Macaca mulatta: one gene and its partner. The protein of the gene in region 2 purifies or fractionates together with the protein of the main gene of each other region. This does not show direct contact. Links are inferred from orthologs where the notes say so. Each region holds a gene or a part of one and is shown on either strand. Other genes may lie near its edges.

Evidence for each region. The genes of interacting proteins can lie anywhere in the genome.
Region 1: the proteins of ESYT1 (region 2) and SYNJ2BP purify together in Homo sapiens (affinity purification with mass spectrometry; 4 studies listed by BioGRID and IntAct, with this or other methods). This does not show direct contact. The link is inferred for Macaca mulatta from reciprocal best matches to the Homo sapiens genes ESYT1 and SYNJ2BP.

The regions. Positions count from the first base shown.
Region 1 is NC_133412.1:143,571,206-143,576,231, forward strand, and holds the start of SYNJ2BP (synaptojanin-2-binding protein), read right to left. Parts: upstream 3,441-5,026; 5' UTR 3,353-3,440; coding exon 3,289-3,352; intron 1,917-3,288; exon of another isoform or gene 1,728-1,916; coding exon of another isoform or gene 1,572-1,727; exon of another isoform or gene 1,521-1,571; intron 1-1,520. Other genes in the region: large ribosomal subunit protein eL39, read left to right, coding at 1,572-1,727. UniProt on the Homo sapiens protein: Regulates endocytosis of activin type 2 receptor kinases through the Ral/RALBP1-dependent pathway and may be involved in suppression of activin-induced signal transduction.
Region 2 is NC_133416.1:63,277,368-63,282,173, reverse strand, and holds the start of ESYT1 (extended synaptotagmin-1), read right to left. Parts: upstream 3,098-4,806; 5' UTR 2,827-3,097; coding exon 2,479-2,826; coding exon of another isoform or gene 2,437-2,478; intron 534-2,436; coding exon of another isoform or gene 492-533; intron 328-491; coding exon of another isoform or gene 286-327; coding exon 193-285; intron 79-192; coding exon 5-78; intron 1-4. UniProt on the Homo sapiens protein: Binds calcium (via the C2 domains) and translocates to sites of contact between the endoplasmic reticulum and the cell membrane in response to increased cytosolic calcium levels.

The sequences.
Region 1 (5,026 bases), on a different chromosome or scaffold from region 2:
GAGTGAATAAATACATTCATTTGTAATAAATAAGTGATACAGAAATCAAACCATTTTTGGGTGAAATATACTAGCTAGATATAATTATTCCCTTTAATTAGTCCTTGAAGCTTGTCCTAATGCCAATGTTTTGAGAAAATACTAACACTAGGAAATTTATGACTGCAAATGCCAAAAAAAATGAAGTGAAATTATATTGAATTTTTAAAAGATTTCATGTTTAGAACAAGAGATAATATCAGGGTCCTGCTCTGCTTTAGACAGGAGATCTGAAAATACTGTGGATGCCCCAGCAAAAAGACTATGTCAAAGTACATTAAATTCTTAAGCAAAAGGCAAGAATCAAATCTCAAGCATCTGGAGAGGTAGTAAAATAACTGAAGATATGTAGGATAAAGAAGAAAGAGGCAAAACAGGAGCAGAACAACTAGAGCCTTTAAATAAATACCTGGACAGCAATCAGAAAAGGAACTAGCATTGTTTTAGTTGGTCCTAAGAGAACAAGTTACCAATGGATTAAAAGTACAAAAAAACAGACTTTGGTTTAAAAGTAACTCTCTGTTAGCTCAAAAGTCAATAAATATTAACAGTGCGTGAAGGATAAATTTACATAAAATAGCAAAAAAATGAATCCAAGAAACTTGGGCATACCAAATGAACCTTTGACAAAAGTTTAGGCGCACATAATCCATGACACTAATCCATTAAGATTAGTGATAGGCCAGGCATGGTGGCTCATGACTGTAATCCCAGCACTTTGGGAGGCCAAGGTAGGAGGACTGCCTGAGTCCAGGAGTTCAAGACCAGCCTGGGCAACAAAGCGAGACCTCGTCTCTAAAAAAAAATAATAATAATATTAATAATGATATTAGTGATGGGTTATATTACAATAAGTAAAACCAACTTCCAATTATTTATAATAGAAAGGAAGGCCAGGCACAGTGGCTCACACGTGTAATCCCAGGACTTTGGGAGGCAGAGGTGGGTGGATCATTTAAACTCTGGAGTTCAAGACCAGCCTGGGCAATGTAGTAAAACATTGTCTCTACCAAAAATACAAAAAAATTAGCCAGACCTGGCAGTGCACACCCATGGTACCAGTTACTCAGGAGGCTAAGGTGGGAGGATTGCTTGAGCCTAAGAGGGAGAGGCTGCAGTGGGCTGAGATCATGCCACTGCACTTCAGCCTGGGCAACAGAGTGAGACCCTGTCTCAAAAAAGAAAGGAAAAAGAAAGAAAGAAAAGAAAAAAAGACACAAAGTATGGATAATTCTGAAAGTTATATTTTATAAAGAATAATCTATCCATGATGATTAAGCTACTGCAGAACTGCAGTGAGAAAAGGTGATGGGCTGTCCTAGGTGGTGGCAAGGGAAAAAGGAGTGAAAGGATTTCAGGAACATTTCAGAGATGGAGCTCATAGTACCTGATGATTTATTAGAGACTCTTGGAATACAGTATTAGTAGGATCTACTGTGTCAGTTTAGCTATTTATCCATTAACAATAACAACAGTACCCCCTCTTTTCCTTTCTCCGCCATCGTGGTGTGTTCTTGCTTCCACTTCTCGCCATGTCTTCTCACAAGACTTTCAGGATTAAGCGATTCCTGGCCAAGAAACAAAAGCAAAATCGTCCCATTCCCCAGTGGATTCGGATGAAAACTGGAAATAAAATAAGGTACAACTCCAAAAGGAGACATTGGAGAAGAACCAAGCTGGGTCTATAAGGAATTGCACATGAGATGGCACATATATTTGTGCTGTCTGAAGGTCACGATCACATTACCATATCAAACTGAAAATGTCACCACTCTCTGGAGAGTTCGACGTATTTTCCTCTCTGAATCTATTATGAATGCATTGGTTGGCTGGGTTCAGTAATAAATATGTGAGGACTTTCATTCCAAAAAAAGAAAAAAAAACAATAACAACAGTAGGAAACACATACTGCTTACCATAGGTCAGGCAATATTGTAAACATTTTACATAGATTAACTCATTTCATTCTCACAACACTATGAAGTATATTTATAACCATCCCCATTTTAGAGATGATAACCTAAGGCTTACATCAGTTAGGTGAGCCAATAAGTATCAAAGAATCAGTAAGCGGTTAGATACAAGATTTGAACCCAGATACTGTAATTCCAAAGCTAAAGCTCTTAATCGATCAACTAAATAGCTGTAAAGGAAAATAAACAAAGTCGAAAGAAGGCAGAATGTAGTAATGTCAAGAGCCCAGTTTAATGAAGAGCCTCAGTGGGGTAAGAGGATAGCAGTTTGGCTGCTCAAAATCACATGAGGTGTTCATAAAAAAAACTTAAATAAATAAATAAATAAAATAAATCCGTACTGAATCCAAATCCCTGCAGATAGGAGATAAGAATTAACTTTTTTTTCTTTTTTTTTCTTTTTTTTTTTTTTTTTTGAGACGGAGTCTTGCTCTGTGCCCCAGGCTGGAGTGCAGTGGCGCGATCTCGGCTCACTGCAAGCTCCGCCTCCCGGGTTCACGCCATTCTCCTGCCTCAGCCTCCCGAGTAGCTGGGACTACAGGCGCCCGCCACCTCGCCCGGCTAATTTTCTTGTATTTTTAGTAGAGACGGGGTTTCACCGTGTTAGCCAGGATGGTCTCGATCTCCTGACCTCGTGATCCGCCCGTCTCGGCCTCCCAAAGTGCTGGGATTACAGGCTTGAGCCACCGCGCCCGGCCTTTTTTTTTTTTTTTTTTAAAGCCCTGGGAAATTTTGTGGCGGAACCAAGTTTGAGAACCTGTGTAATAAAAGATTTCTAAGGGCTCTTCCTGCTTTAACATTCTAGTTGGCACTGTAAATGAATTTCCCAGAAATCAAAGGAGCGAGGGAGGGATCCTAGCTGCAGGAAAACGGCTATGCATTCAGAGTCTACACCGCTTATGCTCCCATTTTACTAAACGGTCCCTCATAGCGTGAAGGATAGAACAGGCAACGGTAGGAAGGATGTGGTGTCCACGACAAGCAGGCTAAAAAAGCAGACTTTTAAAAAGACTTTTCTAGCACGATTTGCAGAAAGAACCCTTTCGTGACTATATATATTTGTGGTCATCCGACTGGATTTTGAGGTGGATTCCTCAGATCCGTATCTGGCTAATGATGGATTTCAACATATTTTCTCTAAGCACCCCAAAGCGTTGCACGAAACCTCTAGGTTGGGGCCTGCCCCGAGGCCAGGTGAATCCGGCTCAGCAGCAGAGATGTCTGCAATTACACCCTCTAATCCCCTACTATCAGATATGACCCGTTCCGCACATACCTGAGGGTCCTCTGGTAAGATTGATCTCTTCCTCAGCGACCAAATAAACCACTCTTCCGTTCATGATTTACAGCTCGTCTGGCTTCCTACTCGGGTCAGCTGGAGTTCCGCACAGGAGAAGGTGAATCAATCTCGGCGCTGCTGCCCACAGCACAGCACTTTCGGTTTCAGCAGCCTCGAGACCCGGAAAAGGAAGCCCGAAGGACTCAGAGCGCTGGGAATGCTGGGAATCGTGGTTCCTGCCGCCAACGGATTGCAGTTTCTCACCAGTTCCCAAGGCCACGCATGAGGTGAGCAAGGGGCAAGTTATTCTAATTTGCCATTGGAAGGAGGTGGGAAGGGGTGGCTAGTAAAAGTAAGGGACCTAAATAAATTGATATTGTCGAGAAAAAATTTTTTAAAAAAATCCCCTGCCATCCTAGAAAATCTCCACAAATTTAGAAAAGAAAAAAAAGTTGTATTATTCTGTAAACATCGAACCAGACCGGAATGAGTGTCACAGGCAATCCACTAATGAGATTGCAAAGAGAGACAACAATATCACCTTTTATGTAGCTAAAGCACACGCACGTTCTCAAGTAAGACGAGTTAACATGGTTTGATATTCAATTTTTGGTAGTTCACCGTTGGAGTGGCCGTCTGTGTTGGTTAATTGCCTTTATCCAAAGGAAAAATAAAACGTTATCTCTGTGACAAACAGGTACTTACGGCTTGGAGCAAGTCGCTTAGGGTAACTCCCGCGAGCGTGGATCATAGGGGCACTGTCTACCTTGATAGTTACATTTCAAGGAGTTGGCTCCCGGGACCTGAAGAAAAAGATTCCTGGGTTCTATCTGACAAGAGGCTTATTTAGCTTTTAAAAAGTTACACACACACACACACACACGCACACACACACACGGATTATAATTAGAATTTGCTCAAGAAAATTTTTTAAGAAAGGGGACTAGGGGAATGGCTCATCCTTTTGGCAACTGGGAAAATTCAGTCTTTTTAATGTTTTAACTCTTACAATAAGGTTAACTCACGACTTAGGTATAACTTTAGGCCAGTCTTCCTGACTTTTGGAATGAGATATTCCAAACTGAACTTGAATGAAACTTCAGGGGTCAAAAACACAAAAGCCTAAAGAACCAGGAAGGTGACAACCTTGTGAAGCAACCTGGAGTTAGACCACAGCGATTGGTGGGGATCTTAGAGGAGTAGAAAGTGCAAGGCCAATATAAAGACATTCAAATTTATAGTAAAAAACCAAAGCAGCAGCAACTATGTTTACCAAACAGAAGGAGATAGGGGCAGATTCGGCAGGAAGGCCTCTTGTTTGCTCACTCTGAGAGAAGTAAAGATGGAATAGTGGAGGCTGGGCGCAGTGGTTCACGCCTGTAATCCCAGCACTTTGGGAGGCTAAGGTGGGTGGATCACCTGAGGTCAGAAGTTCAAGACCAGCCTGGTCAACATGGTGAAACCCCGTCTCTACTAAATATACAAAAAATTAGCTAGGCGTGGTGGCGGGCGCCTATAATCCCAGCTACTAGGGTGGCTGAGGCAGGAGAATTGCTTGAACCCCGGTGGTGGAGGTTGCAGTGAGCTGAGATTGTGCCATTGTGCTCCAGCCTGGGCAACAAGACCAAAACTTCGTCTCCAAAAAAAAAGATGGGGCAGTGGAAATAACACAGATTATGACTTACAACCTGGGCTCAAGTTTCCATTCCATTCCCTTAAACTTGTCTGTCTTTGA
Region 2 (4,806 bases):
TTACCTGATGTTCAAGTCCAGCAGGATCTGCTCTTTTCTCTGACCTGGGTGAACCTTGACTCCAATGATGCGCAATGGCTAGGGAGAGAGAAAGTCCTGAGACAGGGGAGGGAAAGGGAGAAGTACCTCAGTCTACTCTGGGTCATTCACCCTCCCTATCCCACCGCCTCACTTTTCCTCCTCCACACATACCTTTTCACCCAGTTCCACTCGTGTAAATGTAAATGTTTGCAGATGGGGGTTAGATCCCCTAACAGCCGGAGCCACAGTCTCAGCCAGAAGTTTCTCCATATACTGGCCCAGGAAGGGCCAGACCTGGGCCACAATCTGGAAGGAAAGAGAGATGGTCAGAGGAGAACCCAGTCTTCCCTCTCAAGGCAAGTTCCTTCAGAATCCCTACGGAGAGCACTGAGGGATGAGGGTGGGTCTGGCAAGAAGAAACAAATTCCCATTCTCCCCTCACGAAGACTAAAAATCAAATCAATCCTCACCTTATTGAGCCATTCAGCCTTTTCCACGTCTGGGAAGCTGACCTGGAGGTGGGGAAGGCAGAGACAGTGACGTGCACACCCTCGCCTCTGGTTTCCTACCAAGATGCTGGTGGTATGCCACAGAGGAGAGGGAGTGTGTAAGTGTGACAGACTCCTCACACTCAGGGTGGATGAGGGGCTGGGATGCCCCAAAGGTTCATTCCTCACAGAATTTGGGGGCTGAGATCTCTCTAATAAGGGGAGCTGACAGGGTAGAGGTCACATTGTTGCCCTGTGGGTAGCTCAGGGACGTGGTGAAATGACAGCTGCTGAGAGAGAGAAGAGCAGGAGGAGGAGAAGGGCACATTCTTTCTGGAGGGGGAGGCCCAGTCAAATCAAAGTTTCAGGGAATCCTGGGATTTAAAAAGTCCTGGTTCCAGGCTGGCCGCGGTAGCTCACATCTGTAATCTCAGCACTTTGGGAGGCCGAGGCTGGTGGATCACGAGGTCAGGAGTTCGACACCAGCCTGACCAGCATGGTGAAACCCCATCTCTACAAAAAATACAAAATTCGCTGGGCATGGTGGTGCATGCCTGTAATCCCAGCTACCCAGGAGGCTGAGGCAGGAGAATCGCTTGAACCGGGGAGGTGGAGGTTGCAGTGAGCCAAGTTCGGGCCACTGCATTCCAGCCTGGCAACAGAGTGAGAGACTCTGTCTAAAAAAAAAAAAAAAAAAAAAAAAAAAGTCCTGCCTTCTCAACTCCCTTCAGACCCGGCTTCTAGAGCAGGAAGGTGAAGAGGGAAGCAAGTCCTTCCTTGAGTCAGGGAGGGGCCAGAAGACCTAATTGGGCCTGGCTTTGTGGGTTTTTTGGGGTGTGTGTGTGCGTGTTTTTTTGTTTTTTTTTTCTTTTCCTCTATCTTTCTCTGTGTGACTCCTTTTAAGGGAAAGGACACCTGTGCTTTGTATTGGGGGTAGATTGGTTTCCATGATGACGGGGAGGAGACAAACACTTGCTGCCTAGGCTACAGGTCCCCTAGGGCCATTTCACCCTCTTTCTCCTCCCCTTTCCAGTCCAAGGCCTAGGAAGCTTGGCTGTATCTGCCTAGTGTCAATTTTGACTCCTCTCTGCTACCATTCTCCCCCTAGACTGGCACCTCTGCTGGGAGGGGCCGGGTAACGGGCTTTGCCTCTGCAAGGCTAAAGAGAAGGCATCCGCCTCAGCACAGCAGACTCGGCCGCCGCAGAAATAAGGGTCTCTGCCCCAACGGAACAAGCGCAGCCCACAGTCCGGAAACGGGTGTGGCCGGCCGAGGGGGTGGGGGGGAGTGTGGGCCGCGGGCACTGCAGCAGCCGCACCACCTCCTCCCGTACCCCGCCCTCCCTCCAGCAGCGGCCTCTGCCGCGCTGCAGCCTGGCGGCTGGAGGCCTGAAGGTGGCTGCCTGAGGGTCGTCCAGGGGCCGGGGCTGGGTTCCAGCGGATACCCGGGGATAAAAGCGAGAAAAGAGAGAACCGTAAGGCCTTAAGTAGGTAAAAAGTCTCGAGGAGCATAGCAAAGACTAGGGAAACCTTTGAGAGGTAACGGGACCAGGATTTCCAGGAGCAGCAAAGGCGCGAGTGGCACCAAAAGCAAGAGGGGCGTTGAAGATGGCTTGGCTAGGAGGGAGAGCTTCGGCTGAGACGGGGTCCCCAGATGTTATGACTGCTGTTGCCCAAGAGTAGAGGAAGAAGTCCTGATTCTGTGGAAGGATCCAGTCTGGGCGTAGGAAAGGGTGGGTGGGGAGAGTCAGCAGTCGGTCCCAAGAGTGGCGCGTCCAGCAGGCAGGCAGCTAGCGGGGAGAAAGGGGAAAGTCCGGGGCCCACTGTCCCAAGGCGGGGAGCTGACTCTAGGCATAAGGAGGAAAAGCCCCAGACGGAAGGAGTGGAAGGGGGCTATGCTGCACAGAGGACCGAGGGTGGTCGCTCACCCAGGCAGGTAGCTCTCGATGACTCATATAAAGAGTTTTCGCCGTGAGCTGCTCCTCGTCGTCCAGTAGCTGCCTCGCTGCTCGAAGGCTCCGTTCTTTCTCGTCGCGGACCCGGCGCCAGCCCAGGTAGAGGGCGAGGCCGAAGAGCACGAAACCCACGCTGAGTCCCACTGCCCCGGCCAAATACACCGGTATCAGCACCAGCAACCGCCTCCCGAACGAAGTCAGCACCGCCAGGGCCTCACCCGCCGCGCCAGGGCCAGCAGGTTGGCCTCCAGAACCTGGGTCTAGCTTTGCGTGAGCAGCGGGGGGCTGGTCAGTGGGGTCGGAGGGAGCAGAAGGCTGGTCCATGGGGCTGGGGCTGGGGCCCTCTCCTGGAGATCGCTCCATTGTGCCACCTCTGGGAGGATCCGCCCGACCCAGGGACTGGCTGGAGGTTGCCTAGTCCTGCGATCAGCTCCCCCCTCCAGTGGCAAAACGTGATCCCCGGGATGGAGGTGGGGGACTTCAAGCCACGCCCCTCCTGTCTGGCGATTTGGGTTGGTCCGCGCTGCACAGACCAAGGTGGAGTTAAAAGGTTGAAACTCCTCCCCTCTTCCGCGGGGAAGGCAGCGGGTTTCGGATAGGTAGGGCCTCCCTGATTGGGCCCGAAGGCCAAGATGGGAGGTCTGGGATGGCGGGAAAAGGAAGAAAGGGGCTCAGGGGCGGCATTGGATTGGTAATAAAGAGAAGGCGTGGTGCACCATTTCAGGAGAGGCGGGACCAAGAGCTCCCCCACGTGGGATTGGAGTCCCTGTGGTATGACGTCATGGAGAGCCGCACCGCCAATTTCTTGGTTTTGGAGAAAGCCCAAGTTGCCAAGTTGAGGGGTTGTGGAGCGTCAGGATTTCCCTCTACTCATTCGGACGGTTTGGCAGGATTTGGTCTGGGATATGTATATATTCTTTTGCCGACTTTTAGTTTTCATACTCTAAGCACATTCCTTATCCTTCCTTATCCTTTTCCTGCCTGCCTTTACAAAAGGAAAGGATACGATCGTATTTGGAATGAAAGTGTTTGAAGATTGACCCTGTCTATCCCGTCCCCAATCCCCTACCTTGTTTGTGTGGTGTAACGACTGACCCTGGAGAAAACTGGAGAGTCAGAGAATTACAGAGTTGAGATAATCCAGCCTTCAGGGAAAGTGGGGAAAAAAGCAGAGGAGTGAATAGAAAGTGAGGCTTTATTTCTTTTTGGAAATTTCCAAGAGTTAATAAGTCATCTCTATCATAGAGGATGGGTATAAGACTAGTTGGCTCCAAAAGGGAGGGAGGCAGCGCAAATTATTACATTTTCCAAGAATTTTCTGACCCTGAGGAACTTCTAGGACATTAAAATGAGGGATCAAGAGTGAGGGAAAGACAATTCCCTTTCACATTTGCCTGAGTTAGAAGGAAGGTTTGCCAGTCAGGTGCAGAACTAATGCAGTCCCACAGTGTACTGTGTAGGTTTAGGAAGGAAAAAGTGCGGGGTACACCGATGACTATTGTTACTAGTTAACTGGCCTTAGAGGTAGAGTGTTGTCCTGGGATCTAGGTACTAGGCTAACTGGACGTTGATGACGGAAGTGTTGGTCATAAGATGATTACCTTTTAATGCAGTATATGTGGGGCATATTACGTAAATCTGTCAGATGCAGCAGCAGAACTGGGGTTGATCATTGGGGAGAAACTAGCCATTTCTTAGAGGAAGTGTCTTACAGGATGAGGCCTGCAGCTGATAAATTTTATCTGGTTCTGCAGGGCATAGATTTAATCAGCCTGTGTTTACCAAAGCTGCTTAAAACCTGTCCCTGCCCAGCCTCTACCCCTTAAATTTTTTCACTTCCTTTTCTCTACTTCCCTAGGGCCAGTAGTATCTCAACTGCTTCACTCAGTTTGCAGAACTATTTAAGAAACAATATTCTCTCTCCTACATCCTCCATATTCCCAGAGGTGAGCAGGTAGAAAAGGAAACAAGGAACTTGGAGGAATTATGAGTGATCTGCTCACCAACTGATAAAGCAGAACTACAGCAGGAACATGGATGAAACTCCTGAGAGAGAAACCTCTCTATAAACTGAAATTTGCCAAGCACTGGAGTAGGGTAAGATGTTCCTGAGGGTGGGCGAATGGAGAGGATGACCTATGGATGTTCCTTTCCAAACTTCTCCCTTCCTCACCTCATCCAGATCATCAGAAATTATATAGGGGATAAAACTTCATCCTCAGGGAGGTCTTGTCCCAGCTGGGGCCCAGGAGCCACAGGATCAGCAGCTGCAATGCAGCTAGTTACCAACACAAGTAAACAGGGTGTGTCCCCGCCCACTGACAATTCTGCTGCCCAGGTGCC